Linked DNA regions of Saccharomyces cerevisiae S288C. The gene in region 1 interacts genetically with each later gene. Each region holds a gene or a part of one and is shown in the gene's direction. Other genes may lie near its edges.

Region 1 (6,428 bases):
AGTAAAATTTCTTTTGAAACATTGCCAATGGTTGGTTGATGGAGATTTCTGACATTTAGCTAGTGTTCGCTGGAGTGATTTTAGCATATTGGCGCACCTTCCTCTGTCCATGAAGGGATTCTATCGCGGTTGTAACGCCGTAAGAGTTTTGAATTGATTTTTTCTTGTCAAAACCGAATAGCATTGTAAACATTTTGAGGGGTCCCTCCTAGAAAAATTGAGTCGAAAGGAAACTCAAAAAAACATCATTAGAGTATATGTGCAGCTTTTGGAACAGCGTATGTATTATGTAATTGTATGTAGAAGTCGGCGAAAGTGTCCTAAGATAGAGAGACGAGTGCATCGATTACTTCCTTCCTAGCCTCCGGAGAAGGAGGATCCACAGCAGCTAGGTAGTGGGCAAATAAGAGCTTTCCAATAAGGGGTTCCTTCACTGTGCCCAATATCACAAATTCATCCTTCTTTCTTGCGTAGTAAGACAAATTCATAGAGCAGTCCTTATTCAGCTCAATGAAAAAATCATCATCTCGAGCCACAAGTCCTTTTACGCTCCTGAAACAGTCATGCAATTCTTGGAATCCAGCTTCCAGCCGGTCTTTGTCTTGAGACTGAGAATCTGGGTTCTTTAGGACGCTCTTTTTGGTGCCGTCCATCAATAACTTGAAGGAACCTGCTTTTATCGGAGTATTCTTGGACATTAGTCTGATTCCGCTGTCTAAGAGGTTATTAATCAGGATAGGGGCCTTAGCAGGATCGTTCAAAGCCGCACGCAAATTATCCTGATGTGAGTTTTCCGGTGATGGGGGTGCCGCAGTGTCGATGAACGCCTGAGACAGGAACTTTGAGTCCAGTACTTCAGAGACCAGATGTTTGTCTTCAGCGGCCACATATATGCCCAGACCATATGCTTTGAAAGTGATCGATGAGACACAACGTACACCCTTACCAATCAGCTCATATTGCGTGGAGAAGGGCCACTGTGGGGGGCCCATCTTCTTAGGGAACGCAGAGATGGATGCGTCCACTGCAACGCTGGTGGCATCCGCCTTTTTGATCTGGGAATCGTCATACCATTTCTTCGCGAATATGGATGCCAGTGCTAACCCTGTTAACACAGGCACTACTTTGCTGCCCTTCTTGTTCACACGAGCATTGCCCGCTGTAGTAGAGTAGTGAGAATACCATTGTGGGGCCCTCCTCATACCTACCTCTAGGCAATTTGTTTTCACCAAAACTTTACTGATTAAACGCATGTTTCCATATACCTGGCCTTCTGCTAAGTAGACATGTATTCAACAAGGGGATGTAACCACACGCTGCTTTAATACCAACAAATCGGCCGCTGATTAGTAATAGGTGCATCATTGCGAATACCGAGAAAGGGTCCATTATACGAACTAATCATTCTATACGGCGTCCTTCCTGTTCAAGCACCTCTCTGATTAGTTCCTTTGATTGAGGCGCTGATGTTGCATCAGGCTGCTGGAGCAGATTTAGTTTCTTTAACGTCTCCTCTTTAATATTTTCGATCAGTTTTTCTGTTGTTTCCACTGAGGTTGTGTTAGTAATTAGTGCGGGTGAAGGTTGGGGGTAGAGTGTTGCGGTGAGGTGACATACGTTCCAGCTGCATTCGATGTAGTATTGCGCTGCGCAACTTCTGCCGTTCTTCGGGAGTGAGAGCCGGTATCATCGTAACCGAGTGCGGCAGCTGCCCTTTTGCTGATGTTGTTGCCACTTCTTGTTTACAATTGTATTCTCTTGAAGTTATATGGCATTATAGCTGCCGGGTTATTTCCGCCAGGCGGGTTTTCGCCACCGGAATTTACAACTAAATACACACTTATATCAGACTTTTAAAGCGTAAAGAAAGAAGGGAAAAGTCAATAAATAACTCAGCAGTAACCGCACAATGGTATTGGAAGCTACAGTGTTAGTGATTGATAATTCAGAGTACTCTCGCAATGGCGACTTTCCTAGGACAAGGTTTGAAGCCCAGATCGACTCGGTAGAGTTCATATTTCAAGCCAAGAGAAACAGCAATCCTGAGAATACAGTGGGTCTTATCTCTGGTGCTGGCGCCAACCCCAGGGTGTTATCTACGTTTACCGCCGAGTTTGGGAAGATTCTTGCTGGACTACACGACACGCAGATCGAGGGTAAGCTGCATATGGCCACTGCGTTGCAGATCGCTCAGCTGACTTTGAAGCATCGCCAGAATAAGGTCCAACATCAAAGGATTGTGGCATTTGTGTGTAGCCCAATAAGTGATTCTCGAGACGAATTGATCAGATTGGCAAAAACACTGAAAAAGAATAATGTTGCCGTGGACATCATCAATTTTGGAGAGATTGAACAGAACACGGAGCTTTTGGATGAGTTCATAGCTGCAGTGAACAACCCTCAAGAAGAAACTAGTCATTTGCTTACTGTGACGCCTGGCCCCAGACTGCTGTACGAGAACATCGCATCTTCACCCATAATTCTCGAAGAAGGATCCTCCGGTATGGGCGCCTTTGGTGGGTCTGGCGGTGATTCCGATGCCAATGGCACATTTATGGACTTCGGGGTAGACCCATCAATGGACCCAGAACTGGCAATGGCCTTGCGTCTGTCTATGGAAGAAGAGCAGCAAAGACAGGAAAGGTTAAGACAGCAGCAACAACAACAAGATCAGCCTGAGCAGTCTGAACAGCCTGAACAACACCAAGACAAATAGTAGTGTACAAAAATATCTATATGGGTCATATATAAACCAAATAAAGCATATATAACATCTCCCTTCACTCTTCCAGGTTTGAGTACGCTTCCTCTAAATAGGGGACGACTTGCTTTCTGGTGGCCTCGACGTTCAGTTGCTTAAACATCGCCACACCTCCATCAAGATTGCCCCCAAATAATTGAAGTTGGAGCTTGTCGCTAACCCTTTCAATGAGTTCACGTACCACGTTAGAGTCTCCCAATATGACCAATTCTCTGTGTGAATCACCAGCTTTCCTCCATGAAGTCAACAGAACCAATACATCGAGCCCCCTCTCCGCCTGAAATCTTCTGCATTGGTTGACGAAATCTGCTTCACCACCGTGTTCATTGAATAGCCAAGACATTCTTTTTACTATTGATGAAAGACCAATCTCTAACCCTTTGTGTCCCTTTCCTTGGAAATTGAATTGTTTGTAGTCCTTCTTTAGAATATCGCTTACCGAAAATCCTTTAATATCGTTCTTTCTTGATTTTATCTCTTTATAAAACTCACTGCTGTCCTCTAAACCTTGCGCAGACACTTCATTAACCGCACCACTAAGAACAGCTTGGCATCTCTCGATAGCTAATTTATCACTTTCCTCGACTTTGCGCCTCATATTTGAAGTGTCTATTAAGATGGCCCCCATCAAAAGTGGTGCAATGTTCATCACCACTTCACGGTCACCTTGCAATTTTTCATACCAGTAGTTAAAAACCAGCGATGAGCAACTGCCGGACACTTTTACAATCCGAGGTTCAGCATCCAAATGTTTTTGCAAGTCAAAATGGTGGTCTATAATGCCAACGACGTTATCTATATAATTTTTCAAATTCTTTGGTGTATCGTTATTATCTACCAAGTAAGAGTTTAATTCAGTACCCTGGGAGACATTTTGCTTCAAGCTCTTTAAATCTTCAATGAAGAATAATTCCTCCTCCTTAATTTTCAGTTTTTCTAGGACATACATTACGTCTCTTCTTAAACTGAGGTCTTCTCTAGGAATGTCGATAATTGGGACAATAAAGCTTCCTTTCTTTTTCTCCTCCGAGTAAGTACCTTCATTATATATGTATTGGCAGTACGAATAAGTGATTGCACTAGCAATTGAGTCCATATCTGCTGACTCGTTACCAACACATATTGTTAACACATCGTTGCTTGCAATTTTTGAAATTGGCAGTGATTTTAAGTGTGCCAAAAATTCAGGAACCGTCTTTCTCAAAGGCGACATCTTTCTTAACAATCGGTGTTTTGAACTTTTTGATTATTTGTTTCAAGTGGCTTTAGTTAATTATGTACACTTCGTTTCTTTTTTCTACTCTTAAAAGTGAAAAAAATGAAAAATCAGCGGCATGTATAGCATACAGATAATAGGAAAAAGGTTGTGAGTTATTCTTCGAGACTATTTCGACTCGTATTCTAAATTAGAATTCAAGTAGGTGGATAATGTGACAAAATGAATGAAGGTTAGAGCTTTACACAGAGTATTATCCTCGGCGTTTTCTATCAAAGCTTCTGGTTATTCCATACTTTTTTCAAGGACAGCAGAAACATATGCCATTTTACACCTCCTGGGAAAATAATTTGTAATTTTCTAGTGACTCAATGCTTGTTGAAAGTGATCTTGTATAATGAGTGTACACATGAGATGTGCAAATTTCTTCATTACTTAGCGAGAAGTGTACACTCTTGAATATAATAACACTAACAGTGGAATCATCGGTAATAATAATACTATTGATCGTAGTGAAAGCAAAACACGACTGTACTTGAGTTATAAATTTTGTTGCTGTAGAAATTTCAGTGATCATTCATTAGCAACTTATTAAGATGACGATTATATTTTACGGTTCTTTTCACAAACCATTATACTTGCTAAAGGTTGTAAAAGTCATACACTTTTTAACATCAAGATTTCAGTACAACAATTTCTTACATGTAAAATCGTTTGCAAATTAAGTTCGCCAAATTGTATCTTAATTAAAATCTATGTGTTCAGAAGTTGAATATTGGTAAAAAGAAACAAAATGTATAAACGAACGAAAAAGGAAGTGATCAAAATAGAGTAAGGAACCAAGGCATTAGGTTCACCCGAACGTTATCATATATACGCTCATATTATTCCAAGAAAGACACATTTGTCTAGATAGGTTTCGGTAAAGGCGTCCGTAGTTAGAGAGTAGATGGCACTAACTTGAAAGCAGGAAAACAAACAATTGTGTTCCAGAGCAAACTCGAACTTTCTATCTGAACCATTGCATGACGTAAAATTATTATTACAACCATAATGAAACATTTCTACAGTATATCTTTAATATTATTTTTTACTTTAGTGTCCTTATCGATCAGTCGCTCTTTCGCCAACTAGCCGCCAATTGCAAAAGCCGATAAGCTTATTTCCCCTCAAGCCGTCAACAAGAACTACAGCAATAACAAAGAGAGTGAATGCAATAAAGGTGTGCGCAACAGTGTAAAATGATACTAAAGCTTGTACACTGTTTAGTTGCTCTTACAGGATTAATCTTTGCAAAGCCGTATCAACAACAACAGGCAGTTTTAGCGCCGTCGCAGGATGTACCATTAAGAGATATCCATATAGGGGATATAAATTTTATCCATACAACCGATACTCATGGCTGGTTGGGGTCCCATCTATCACAAAACGACTATGATGCTGACTGGGGAGATTTCGTTGCATTTGTAGATATACTTAGAGAAAAAATTTTACGACAGTCCAGAGACGTAATAGTCATCGACACTGGCGACAAACGAGACGGTAATGGTTTGAGTGATGCTACTTGGCCCCCCGGCCTACGAAGCTCGGAGATATTCAACATGATGGATTACGATCTTTTAACGTTAGGTAATCATGAGCTATATACAGCTGAAAGTGCCATACTAGAGTATAGAGGAACTTCTCAGTCCTCAAAATTCAAAGACAAATATGTTTGCAGCAACGTAGAATTTATTGAAGATGACGGAACAAGGGTTCCTTTCGGGAATAAATACATTACATTCGAGACTCCCATAATGAAACAAAGAGTCCTGGCATTATCATTTTTGTTTAGTTTTCAAAGAGCAAATAACAGAGCCATCGTAACACCACCATTGGAAGAAATAACTCAAAAAAGCTGGTTCCAAAATATGGTTGAGACAAACAGAGAGGAGGAAATCGACCTAATTATTGTCTTTGGTCATTTGCCTGCCACTGACCCTACAGAGCGTGAAATGCACAAAATTCATGCTCTAATAAGGAAATACTACCCAAATACTGTTATACAATATTTTGGAGGGCACACTCATATCAGGGATTTTGTACAGCTGGACTCAAAATCTACTTGTTTACAAAGTGGTAGATTTGCGGAAACTGTGGGATTCTTGTCAATTAATATGACTGACCCTGTGGACGCCGAAAGTCCTATTTTCTCAAGAAGGTATATTGACTTTAACAAGGAAGCTTTCAAATACCATTTGAGCAAACTAGGGCATGACTCGAATGTTCCAGTCTCAACGAAAAAGGGTAAAACTATTTCTCGTTTGGTGAATGATCTGCGCCATGAACTAAATTTGAACGAGAAACTGGGGTACATTCCTCAAACTTACTACGTTTCAACAAGGCCATTAAACTCCGAAGAGAATCTTTATCATTTGATCACGCATAAGATTTTACCCAATTTAATTCCTC
Region 2 (4,368 bases), on another chromosome or scaffold:
AATGACGCATATTTGTTGCACTTTTCCTCTTTAATAAGTTGCATTTTCCACTATTTGGTGTCCAAAGATATCAAGCTCAAGGGAAGCTGCTGGATCTTACTAAGGGTTTTACTTTTAAGATTTTCAGAGTCCCATTTCAATGACTATTGGTCTATGATCAGTTACTGTTTACAAACTAATTTGCAAGAATTTTATGAATCACTTCAAATACAGTCAGAAGTCGATCCACAAACAATATTGCAAGTATGTAAAACTTTGGATTTGCTACTCTTACTCAACATGGAAGGCTTCACCTCTACGAATGAGTGGATCTTTGTTATTGATACAATAAATTGCGTATATAAAACGAACTCATTCGTCGCGCTGGTAGATGAAATCGCAGAATTCAAAGATTACGAAATAACCAAAACTGATGATCTTGAATTACCGACAACTTTAAAAGATGGTCTCCCATTATTACGAGGCATTCACAAAATCGAGAGACACACGCAACTAAGAAGCTTCTTCCAGAATTTGAGTTATCTACATTATGAGAAAGTTTACGGACTAGGGTCAGTTGATTTATATGGTTGTGGTGAAGATCTCAAAAAAGATATTCTGTCATGAGCATAGCTATGAATTTTTCTTTATAAACCGAAATATAGTTATACGCTTTGAGTAAAGACACAGGTTATCAATTATAACGTGAAAGGTTTTGCAACTGTCACCTTGTAAAGCTGTACACACTGAGGACTTCCCATCCCGCTTTTCTCGTTTCAATAAGTTTCACATTCCATTTGTAAGTATCGACAAACCTCTTAATGACTTCTTTAGGCTTATTTCTTGCACAAAATAATATATATGCAACACCATCTGGAGAAAGAATTTGTTCTAATTGTCGTAGCAGTTTATCAGTAATCGCCATCCCGTCTTTTCCACCCAATAACGCTAAATCTAGCCATTGGTCTGCCTCCTCTCTTGATCCTGGGACATCTGGCACACATTCTGCTGGCACATATGGTGGGTTAAATATTAGGACATCAACCTGATTATTCCGAATACTGGAGTTTAAATCAGCTTGAATCACTTCTAAAAAAGAACTTTTACATGAATTTAACTTCGCAGTATCCAAAGTTGCTTCGAGCGCCCATGGGTTGATATCAACAGCTAAGTGGATGGAATTTTCCTGCGGTATTATTTTGTTTTGCATTAGAAATGTTGTGACGATACCTGATCCCGAACCAATTTCGCAAACGATGGCCAAACGATTACCAAATTTCTGTTTCAAAAAATCATGCTCTTTTTCCAAACAGTCCAGTATGAGGAAGCTATCCTCAGCAGGCTCATATACTTTATCGTAATCGCATTTTACATAAGGGGTCGGTAGCATACTTCACCTTTCTCACCCTGTGTTAAGTTTATCAATATTATATTTCAGAGTATAATTATATCAATATTTATATGAAATCAAATTCCGATGGCGTCTTCGGGAAGGCAAACGAACAACTTTTAGCTGAAAAACCAAAATTCTGTTATTCAAATGAAGTATTCCGACAGAGGAATAAATAAAGGAAGGTAATTAACTTCCTTACAGCCGTAACCGATGATTGTTAAAGTGAAGACACTGACTGGGAAGGAGATCTCTGTTGAGCTGAAGGAATCAGATCTCGTATATCACATCAAGGAACTTTTGGAGGAAAAAGAAGGGATTCCACCATCTCAACAAAGACTTATATTCCAGGGAAAACAAATGTATGTTCATTCAGTGGTTAATTATCTTTTAAGTTTATTTACGTTTTTGAGACCTTACTAACGACCAGGATAGTGATGATAAATTAACAGTAACGGATGCACATCTAGTAGAGGGAATGCAACTCCACTTGGTATTAACACTAAGAGGTGGTAACTAGAACCATTTTCCGTCATTTATGGAATTTTATCGAAGGTGTTCATTAGAAAAGAAGACAAAACGAACATAAGTTCACTTGGACTTTGGAAGGCTACCGCCCCCAATTTGTCAAAAAAAAAAATACATACAATTTAGTCTATAGAGTCTGTTATAATAAATTAATTGTTTTTAGACGAGAAATGTGAACTAAAACTGTTTAGTATCTATCAAATTATCCGTTATAGCATAGTACGGCTATATATGGTCTGATTGCTGGTCTCATATGACTTTATGGTTTAAATTTCATAAAGCTGGCCATTGCATGGTTCGCGCTGGAAAGAGAGGAAAAGCGTGGTGATAAAGAGCAAACCAAGCATACTGTTATATGCGATTACAGACTATCTGACCAAAAGACATATTTCGCCATTTCTTCTCAATCATGTCTTCCAGGGCAATTTTGTAAGCACGATTGGATGTCCTCTTGTAGTATACCGAATTTCTCATTAAGAAAAGCATCCTTTGCGCTACAACTTTATCAAGTGGAAGTATATACTAAACTCGGAGCATGCTTTTGCCAACGATATCAGTCTTAGCAAAGGGACTTCTAAGGACGTTATTGACGCCTGATTAATCTAATCAAATATAGGTTTGTCATTTTTTTAAACCGAATGGATTGACTTTTGTTTTCATCATAAGTATTACTCTCTGATAGGATCTCTGTGGTACGCTAAAATCTATCTGAATTGTTTGGGACACTATGCATGAATTTCTTATCAGTTTAAAATTTCTATTAAGAGGATAATTTATTTCATATCTTGGGTAGATGAACCATTAGAAATGTTCGAAGTAGCTGCATTGTTATCTTCTGTTTTTGGATTTTCTAGTTGAGCTGTTGTATTCTGTGGAGCAAACTCCCCGGCAACACCACTGTCAGGATCTTGCGAAGAAACTTCCGAGCTTTTTATTTTGGTATTCTCTTCTGATATTTCTCCCTTTGGTTGCGTCTGTTCGCTCTTCAACTCATCTCCTTCTGTTTGAGAAGCGCTGTTTATACGTTGCGACTTAATTTTTTGCTCTCTTTCAGGAAACGAAGCCTCTTCTTCCAGTGCCCTCTTCTTTCTTTCCTTTCCAATCTTGTACTCCCTAGCATCCTGAAGTTTTTTCCTGTGCTCTTGATTGATTTTGTACAAAAGTTTCTCTTTGAAACTATCATCCAACGCTTCCACTTTTCTGGGTTCCTCGAACAAACCATCAACACCAGTCTTTTCGTTAACTTTATCAAAATCGAACAAGTATCGCGATCTTAGAAACCGTAAAGTTTGCCATTGTCTGATTATTTCATCTTTCGCTTCTCCACCGGAAGTTTCAGAAGAAATTTTTGATTCCCATTTCGCTTGGGCTGCTTCATAGACACCTTCAGGCTTCTTTACTTCTTGCTCAATTTTATCTAGACCAGTAGGTATTTTCCAAACATTATTAATCAATTTATTCCCCATCTTGATGAACGTAAACTTTTTAAAAGTTTCGTCAAAAGCGGGTGGCGGTATCTTCTCCTTAGATATTCTGAAGTTTTGGAATTCTTTAAAGCCATCGATCTTGGCGGTTGTAAACTTTTCGTCAGAAGACATTAATTTGCGGATAACACGATAAAAGTCAGGGTCTTTAATTTTATAAAATTTCAAAACACGATTGTCGCAAATGTATGAACATAAATTGAGCCCACGCTTTTTGTTAACTTCATCAAGGTTCTCAAAATCAATATCGCTCAACGGGTTTTCCCTCAAATAGCAGCTTTTATAGAAATTCCTCGTTTCATCAGAAGAAATTAAATTGCGTATAAGATTTGTTGTGAAACATAGTTGTAAAATGAACTGTTTGCGGTAGTAATCATCGTCCTCTTGAGTCAATTGTTTATAAAGGCAGGTCGTATTGCTCAAAGAGATATCCATAATGGTAGGTCGAAGAGTGTAGTCATCTGATTCTTTAATATTCTGTAGATTCGCCCAAAATTCATTCCTGTCCATTTTCATTGCGTTTGAATGCTTCATATACACGGGTAATTTAGGGGTCATAACATCGTAATTCGCGTAATACTCAGTGTTCAGAGCTTCCTCTAAGGAATATCTAGTCCTATTGTTCATCTTGATTTTGCTGTAAAAGTTCTCTTCGATTTCCAAGATTGCATCAAGAAGGGGACTTAATGATCTGTCCACATCATTTTTATATTCTAAATCGCTAAAAGCAAATTCGATCGGGCAAATAATTAGATGATAAAACACGAAGTTATAATCTGCAGCAAATATAACGTCGGAACTGCGGTTGCTTTCTCGTTCACGTGCTGATCTGTTCCATTCGTTATCAGATTCTTGTAAAGCTGAAATAGAAGCGGATCTATTGAAGTTCGATTCTTCATTTATAGGTAGTAGCTCGGATAAAAAGTTCTCTAGTTTGTATTTCATATTATAATGTTTGACGGTATTAAGGATGTCATTATTCTCTAA
Region 3 (7,630 bases), on another chromosome or scaffold:
ACCCACCTAAACCATTGTTCATATTTTGGTTGTTGCTATTGATACTGTTGATACTGTTGTTAATGTTACTGCTGTTGCTGTTGTTGTATTGACGGTTTTGAGAGTATGGACGGCGGTTGCTGTTGCCGTTATTATTATTTCTTCTGTTGTAGTTACCTCTATTGTTGTTTGAATCCCTATTGTTGTAGTATCTTTTATGCCCAGGGCCGTTACTATTAGAGTTATTGTTGGAGTTAATTTGCTGCTTGACCTTGTCAATTATATTATCTTGCAATTTGATAAACTTGATAAAAGTCCCTCTAATATAAATTTCGTTCAATTTTACGGCTTTACTGCTCTCAGCATTGTCTTCTGAATTAATTGCGCTTTCTTCACTATATTCGGTTACATTAGATAAAGTAAGGTTCATCCAGTTATCTACGTTGGTCAATATCCCTTGTATAATTTCACCGTTTTTCAATTCTATTTGCATTTGTTGTCCCTTCGCATTTGTTAAAAGATATAAAGGTAGCATTGAGAAAAAATATTCTATTGTGTTTCTTTTCAGTTCGAGTTGAAGATTTATCAGTTTTTCAACTCTGTTTTACTAATACTACTTCGTTAATTTACTTTTACGATTTCCTTCTTTACCGCTTCCATCATTAGGAAGGTCTATGATACTACGATTTCACGAAAGAAAGCTGCAATAATTGAACATCATTGCTACTCCGTAAAACATGATAGTAAGAGTGCTTATCACGTGACACGTGTGCGGCAAATTTCGTAATTGATGATCAAAATGCGTGTGGGCGGCTACAATGCGGAATTTGCCTTTTTCATAGTACAGGAAACTGGCGGTAAAGGAAAAGTAGTACTTTAAACTCATTTAAAATTACTTATCACTATGAATATCTTTAAATTATTGTTATACATAATAAACTATCTATTAAAAAAAAGATGCTACCCAATTCACGTTGTCCATGGTTATTTTAGAGCCTAAAAATAAAAGGCAGTAGGTTTAGAGGGACTTCAGTACAAGTAGATAACGAACGAAGCAATTACTCTGTGTACGGTGGCGGAAAAAATGAAATGTTACTTAAGAAGGAGGTAATATAAGTACATTACATTTCAACCGCATTGTGACTGCGTACTTTAAACGATAGGTGACTGCGGATCTTAGGTCGTTTAGCAGCATACGAAAATTAGTTTTACTAAACTAGACATCTAGTAAAAGGCTGTCGAAATCTCTCAATTTAAAGAGAACCTGCTACTGACTATAAATTTTGTCACTACAAATTATTGGTTTAATCTAGCCTTCATTATGGATACAATTACCTTCGGCGGCTAAAAACAACTTGATTTTGTTACCCGCGTTTGAAGTGACGCGTCACTAACCATGACGCGAAAGTTAATTATATTCAGCTCCCCGCCTGCTTATTTCCCGTTTAGGAAATAAATGGTTAACCTAACAAAAAAAAAAGAGGAACAAGGACTAAGAAGCACGTCAACGTGAAAAACGCACAAAAGATATTATAGTTATTGCCATCCTTTAGCATTGGTTTAGCATATCAACTAATTGACTAATATTTGCTGCTAAATTCAACTGGAAGCTTTTTTTTTTTTCGAGATAATAAAAAAAGAAACTCTTTAGTGTATTGTGTTATTTTTACTATTAATTGTTGTTACAGCAGAATCACATCTAGCATTGGTCGTCGCTTTTTCAAACGATTCTTCCTCCACTTACCCTTTGAAAAAAAGGTACATTATTTCACGTTATTTGATATATTGTCAACAATAATTGCTCTTTGCCGAAAATTAACTCTTCTTTCTTTCTCATTTCCCTTCTGTCCCTCTTGCGTAGTTCTAAAAGGTTGATTTATTCGAGAAATCATGCCATTTGATGTTTTGATATCAAACCAAAAAGATAATACCAATCACCAGAACATCACGCCAATATCAAAATCAGTTCTTTTGGCGCCTCATTCAAACCATCCAGTGATTGAAATAGCTACGTATTCAGAAACCGATGTATACGAATGCTATATACGTGGGTTTGAAACTAAAATAGTGATGAGAAGAACTAAAGATGATTGGATTAATATTACCCAGGTTTTCAAAATAGCTCAATTTTCGAAGACGAAAAGAACTAAAATACTGGAAAAGGAATCAAATGATATGCAACATGAAAAAGTTCAAGGTGGGTATGGTAGGTTTCAAGGTACTTGGATCCCACTGGATTCAGCGAAGTTTTTAGTCAATAAGTACGAAATAATTGACCCTGTGGTCAACTCCATCTTAACTTTTCAATTCGATCCAAATAACCCTCCACCAAAGAGAAGCAAAAATAGTATATTGAGGAAGACTTCGCCGGGAACGAAGATAACTTCTCCATCGAGCTACAATAAAACACCAAGAAAAAAGAACAGTAGTTCATCAACATCGGCTACAACTACAGCTGCGAATAAGAAAGGCAAGAAAAATGCATCGATCAACCAGCCGAATCCAAGTCCTTTACAAAACCTTGTTTTCCAAACTCCTCAACAGTTCCAAGTAAATTCATCAATGAATATAATGAACAATAATGATAACCACACCACGATGAATTTCAACAATGACACAAGACACAATTTAATAAATAATATTAGTAACAACAGCAATCAATCTACTATTATTCAACAACAAAAATCCATTCATGAAAACTCTTTCAATAATAATTATTCGGCAACTCAGAAACCTCTTCAATTTTTTCCAATTCCGACAAATTTACAAAACAAGAACGTTGCTCTGAATAACCCTAATAATAATGACAGTAATAGTTACAGCCATAACATCGACAATGTCATTAACAGCAGTAATAACAATAATAATGGCAATAATAATAACTTGATCATAGTTCCAGACGGACCTATGCAAAGCCAACAACAACAACAACATCATCATGAATATTTGACGAATAACTTCAATCATTCCATGATGGACTCCATTACAAATGGCAATAGTAAAAAAAGGAGGAAAAAGCTGAATCAATCTAATGAACAACAATTTTACAACCAGCAAGAAAAAATACAAAGGCATTTCAAATTAATGAAGCAACCCTTATTATGGCAATCCTTTCAAAATCCAAATGATCACCATAATGAGTACTGTGACAGTAACGGCAGCAACAATAACAACAACACTGTAGCATCCAATGGCTCCTCCATTGAAGTATTTTCATCAAATGAAAATGATAACAGTATGAATATGTCTTCACGATCTATGACACCGTTCAGCGCAGGAAATACTTCATCTCAAAACAAGTTGGAAAACAAAATGACAGATCAAGAATACAAGCAGACGATATTAACAATACTATCATCGGAAAGGTCTTCTGATGTAGATCAAGCGTTGTTGGCTACTTTATATCCGGCGCCCAAAAATTTTAACATAAATTTTGAAATTGATGATCAAGGTCACACTCCACTCCATTGGGCTACAGCTATGGCGAATATTCCTTTGATAAAAATGCTAATTACCTTAAATGCTAATGCATTACAGTGTAATAAGCTCGGTTTTAATTGCATCACAAAATCAATTTTCTACAACAATTGCTACAAGGAGAATGCTTTCGATGAAATAATATCCATCTTAAAAATATGTCTTATAACTCCCGACGTAAATGGAAGATTGCCATTTCATTATTTAATTGAATTGAGCGTTAATAAGTCCAAAAATCCAATGATAATAAAATCTTATATGGATTCGATAATATTGAGCTTGGGTCAGCAGGACTACAATTTGTTGAAGATATGTTTGAACTACCAAGATAATATAGGGAACACTCCACTGCATTTATCTGCTTTAAACTTGAACTTCGAGGTTTACAACAGACTGGTATATCTTGGTGCGTCAACAGATATATTGAATCTAGATAACGAATCGCCTGCGTCAATAATGAATAAGTTTAATACTCCGGCTGGCGGGTCAAACAGCAGAAACAACAACACCAAGGCAGATCGAAAGTTAGCTCGAAACCTTCCTCAAAAGAATTATTACCAACAACAGCAACAGCAACAGCAACCACAAAACAATGTCAAAATTCCAAAAATTATAAAAACTCAACATCCTGATAAAGAAGATTCTACTGCAGATGTCAATATAGCTAAAACAGATTCTGAAGTCAACGAAAGTCAATACCTGCATTCCAACCAGCCAAATTCTACAAATATGAACACTATTATGGAAGACTTGTCGAATATTAATTCTTTCGTGACGTCGTCTGTCATTAAAGATATAAAGTCTACGCCGTCCAAAATTCTTGAAAACTCTCCCATTTTATACAGAAGAAGATCACAGTCAATATCAGATGAAAAAGAAAAGGCAAAGGATAATGAGAATCAAGTTGAAAAGAAAAAGGATCCCTTGAATAGTGTGAAAACTGCCATGCCATCATTGGAATCGCCTTCTTCCCTTCTGCCGATACAGATGTCTCCACTAGGAAAGTACTCAAAACCGCTTTCGCAGCAGATCAACAAATTAAATACAAAAGTTTCTTCTCTACAAAGAATAATGGGTGAAGAAATTAAAAATCTGGACAACGAAGTAGTAGAAACCGAATCCTCTATTTCTAACAATAAGAAGAGATTGATTACAATAGCACATCAAATAGAGGATGCTTTCGATTCCGTATCAAACAAAACTCCCATAAATTCGATATCAGATTTACAATCAAGGATTAAAGAAACATCGTCAAAGTTGAATTCTGAAAAGCAAAATTTTATTCAAAGCTTGGAAAAATCTCAAGCTTTAAAACTGGCTACAATTGTCCAGGATGAGGAATCAAAGGTTGATATGAATACTAACTCAAGTTCACATCCAGAAAAACAGGAAGATGAAGAGCCAATTCCAAAGTCAACGTCGGAAACTTCTTCTCCTAAAAACACCAAAGCGGACGCCAAATTTTCTAATACTGTACAAGAATCATATGATGTAAATGAGACGTTGAGACTAGCAACGGAACTAACTATTCTACAGTTTAAAAGAAGGATGACAACATTGAAAATAAGCGAAGCTAAAAGCAAAATTAATTCATCGGTGAAGTTAGATAAATACAGAAACTTGATTGGTATCACAATTGAGAACATTGACTCAAAATTGGACGATATAGAAAAGGATTTGAGGGCAAACGCATAAATTTTAATTCACAATGTACCAATAATTTTTACTATATTATCAGAGTTTTTAAATTTTTTTTTTTTTTTTTTGGTAGCAATTTTTTACATATTTGTATAGTCACTTTTCTCATTGCGCTTGAGTTGCTTCAAGTGCATGTCAACAAACATTTGAACTACTAAACTTAGACTATTATGGTTAGCCCTTTGCTAATTATCAGGATGTCTTTTATTACGATTGTGCTTTGTTTTCGTACAATATGATGAATGGAAAGCGCGATGAGATGAGGTCGAAAAAAAAAAAAAAAAAAAAAAAAATAGAAACATCCACTTATCCATAGATCCTTCATTTTATTTGTTGTCAGGTTTGGTATTGATTTTATTAGTCAACAAAAAAGAATAGGCAAGACCCCGCAAGGATCCTTCTTCTCGTTTCTGTATATTACCAAAATCCTGCCTTAGCAGCATAAAAACTGAGGGACGAAAAACACTTTTTTAGTATCAAGTAGTATAATGGATCAACAATTTCTAAGTCAACTTGAGCAAACTTTGCACGCTATCACTTCTGGTGTAGGCTTGAAGGAGGCTACAAAAACTTTGCAAACTCAATTTTATACCCAGCCTACAACTTTGCCAGCTTTGATTCATATTTTGCAGAACGGCTCCGATGATTCGTTGAAACAACTAGCTGGTGTTGAAGCTAGAAAGTTGGTTTCCAAGCACTGGAACGCCATTGATGAATCCACTAGAGCCTCCATCAAAACATCTCTTTTACAAACAGCATTTAGTGAGCCAAAAGAAAATGTTCGTCATTCCAACGCTCGAGTAATTGCTTCTATTGGTACTGAAGAGCTAGATGGTAACAAATGGCCAGATTTAGTCCCTAACCTAATCCAAACTGCTTCTGGTGAAGACGTTCAAACAAGACAAACTGCCATTTTTATTTTGTTTTCTCTGTTGGAAGATTTCACCTCTTCTCTATCTGGCCACATCGATGACTTTTTGGCTTTGTTCTCTCAGACAATTAATGATCCATCTTCTTTGGAGATCAGATCATTATCTGCCCAGGCTTTGAACCACGTTTCTGCTTTGATTGAAGAACAAGAAACCATCAACCCTGTTCAAGCTCAAAAATTCGCCGCCTCAATTCCATCTGTGGTTAACGTTTTAGACGCAGTTATCAAGGCCGACGACACCATGAACGCTAAATTAATCTTTAACTGTTTAAACGATTTCCTGCTATTGGACTCCCAATTAACAGGAAACTTTATTGTGGATTTGATTAAGCTGTCTTTACAAATTGCTGTTAACAGTGAGATTGACGAAGATGTTCGAGTTTTTGCTCTTCAATTCATCATATCTTCATTGTCCTACAGAAAATCGAAGGTTTCTCAAAGCAAATTGGGCCCAGAAATTACTGTTGCAGCTTTGAAGGTGGCTTGTGAAGAGATCGATGTTGACGATGAATTAAACAACGAAGACGAAACAGGCGAAAATGAGGAAAATACACCCTCTTCTTCTGCTATTAGACTGTTAGCTTTCGCTTCCTCTGAACTGCCACCATCCCAGGTTGCTTCCGTTATTGTTGAACACATTCCAGCTATGTTGCAATCCGCAAACGTTTTTGAGAGAAGAGCTATTCTTTTAGCTATTTCCGTTGCTGTTACTGGTTCTCCAGACTACATTTTGTCTCAATTCGACAAAATTATCCCTGCCACCATAAACGGTTTGAAGGATACTGAACCGATTGTTAAATTAGCTGCTCTGAAGTGTATTCACCAATTAACCACTGACTTACAAGACGAAGTTGCCAAATTTCATGAAGAATACTTGCCATTGATCATCGATATCATTGATTCTGCGAAAAACATTGTCATTTACAACTATGCAACTGTTGCTTTAGATGGTCTGCTTGAGTTCATTGCTTATGATGCTATCGCTAAGTACTTGGATCCATTAATGAACAAACTATTCTATATGTTGGAAAGTAATGAATCATCCAAGTTGAGATGTGCTGTTGTTTCTGCAATTGGTTCCGCTGCTTTTGCAGCAGGTTCCGCGTTCATTCCATATTTCAAGACTAGTGTTCACTATTTGGAAAAATTCATCCAAAACTGTTCTCAAATTGAAGGTATGAGCGAAGATGATATAGAACTAAGGGCCAACACTTTTGAAAATATTTCTACTATGGCCAGAGCCGTCAGATCAGACGCATTTGCCGAATTTGCCGAACCTTTGGTTAACTCCGCCTATGAGGCCATCAAAACTGATTCTGCTAGATTAAGAGAATCTGGTTATGCATTCATTGCAAACTTGGCTAAAGTTTACGGCGAAAATTTTGCTCCTTTCTTGAAAACTATCCTACCAGAAATCTTCAAGACACTAGAATTAGATGAATACCAATTCAACTTCGATGGTGATGCAGAGGATTTAGCCGCATTTGCTGATTCTGCCAATGAAGAAGAACTACAGAACAAATTCACCGTTAACACTGGTATTTC

The links.
Region 2: mutations in RPN10 (region 1) and RUB1 together harm fitness more than expected from each alone (negative genetic interaction), as found in Saccharomyces cerevisiae (6 studies listed by BioGRID, with this or other methods).
Region 3: mutations in RPN10 (region 1) and SWI4 together harm fitness more than expected from each alone (negative genetic interaction), as found in Saccharomyces cerevisiae (5 studies listed by BioGRID, with this or other methods).

The regions. Positions count from the first base shown.
Region 1 is NC_001140.6:497,170-503,597, forward strand, and holds RPN10 (proteasome regulatory particle base subunit RPN10), read left to right. Parts: upstream 1-1,909; coding exon 1,910-2,716; downstream 2,717-6,428. Other genes in the region: AIM18 (Aim18p), read right to left, coding at 1-111; AIM46 (Aim46p), read right to left, coding at 321-1,253; NBL1 (borealin), read right to left, coding at 1,402-1,550, 1,618-1,690; PPX1 (exopolyphosphatase), read right to left, coding at 2,781-3,974; SMN1 (Smn1p), read left to right, coding at 5,219-6,428. UniProt on the Saccharomyces cerevisiae protein: Multiubiquitin binding protein.
Region 2 is NC_001136.10:731,139-735,506, reverse strand, and holds RUB1 (NEDD8 family protein RUB1), read left to right. Parts: upstream 1-1,582; coding exon 1,583-1,731; intron 1,732-1,804; coding exon 1,805-1,889; downstream 1,890-4,368. Other genes in the region: DOP1 (Dop1p), read left to right, coding at 1-606; MTQ2 (S-adenosylmethionine-dependent methyltransferase), read right to left, coding at 704-1,369; HPR1 (Hpr1p), read right to left, coding at 2,671-4,368. UniProt on the Saccharomyces cerevisiae protein: Ubiquitin-like protein modifier that can be covalently attached to lysine residues of target proteins. Activated by the dimeric UBA3-ULA1 E1 enzyme and conjugated by the E2 UBC12 to substrate proteins.
Region 3 is NC_001137.3:380,116-387,745, reverse strand, and holds SWI4 (SBF complex DNA-binding subunit SWI4), read left to right. Parts: upstream 1-1,869; coding exon 1,870-5,151; downstream 5,152-7,630. Other genes in the region: U6 snRNA complex subunit LSM4, read right to left, coding at 1-514; karyopherin KAP123, read left to right, coding at 5,643-7,630. UniProt on the Saccharomyces cerevisiae protein: Part of a complex involved in cell-cycle-dependent transcription. SWI4 and SWI6 are required for formation of the cell-cycle box factor-DNA complex. The repeated element in the upstream region of HO (5'-CACGAAAA-3') is called the cell cycle box (CCB).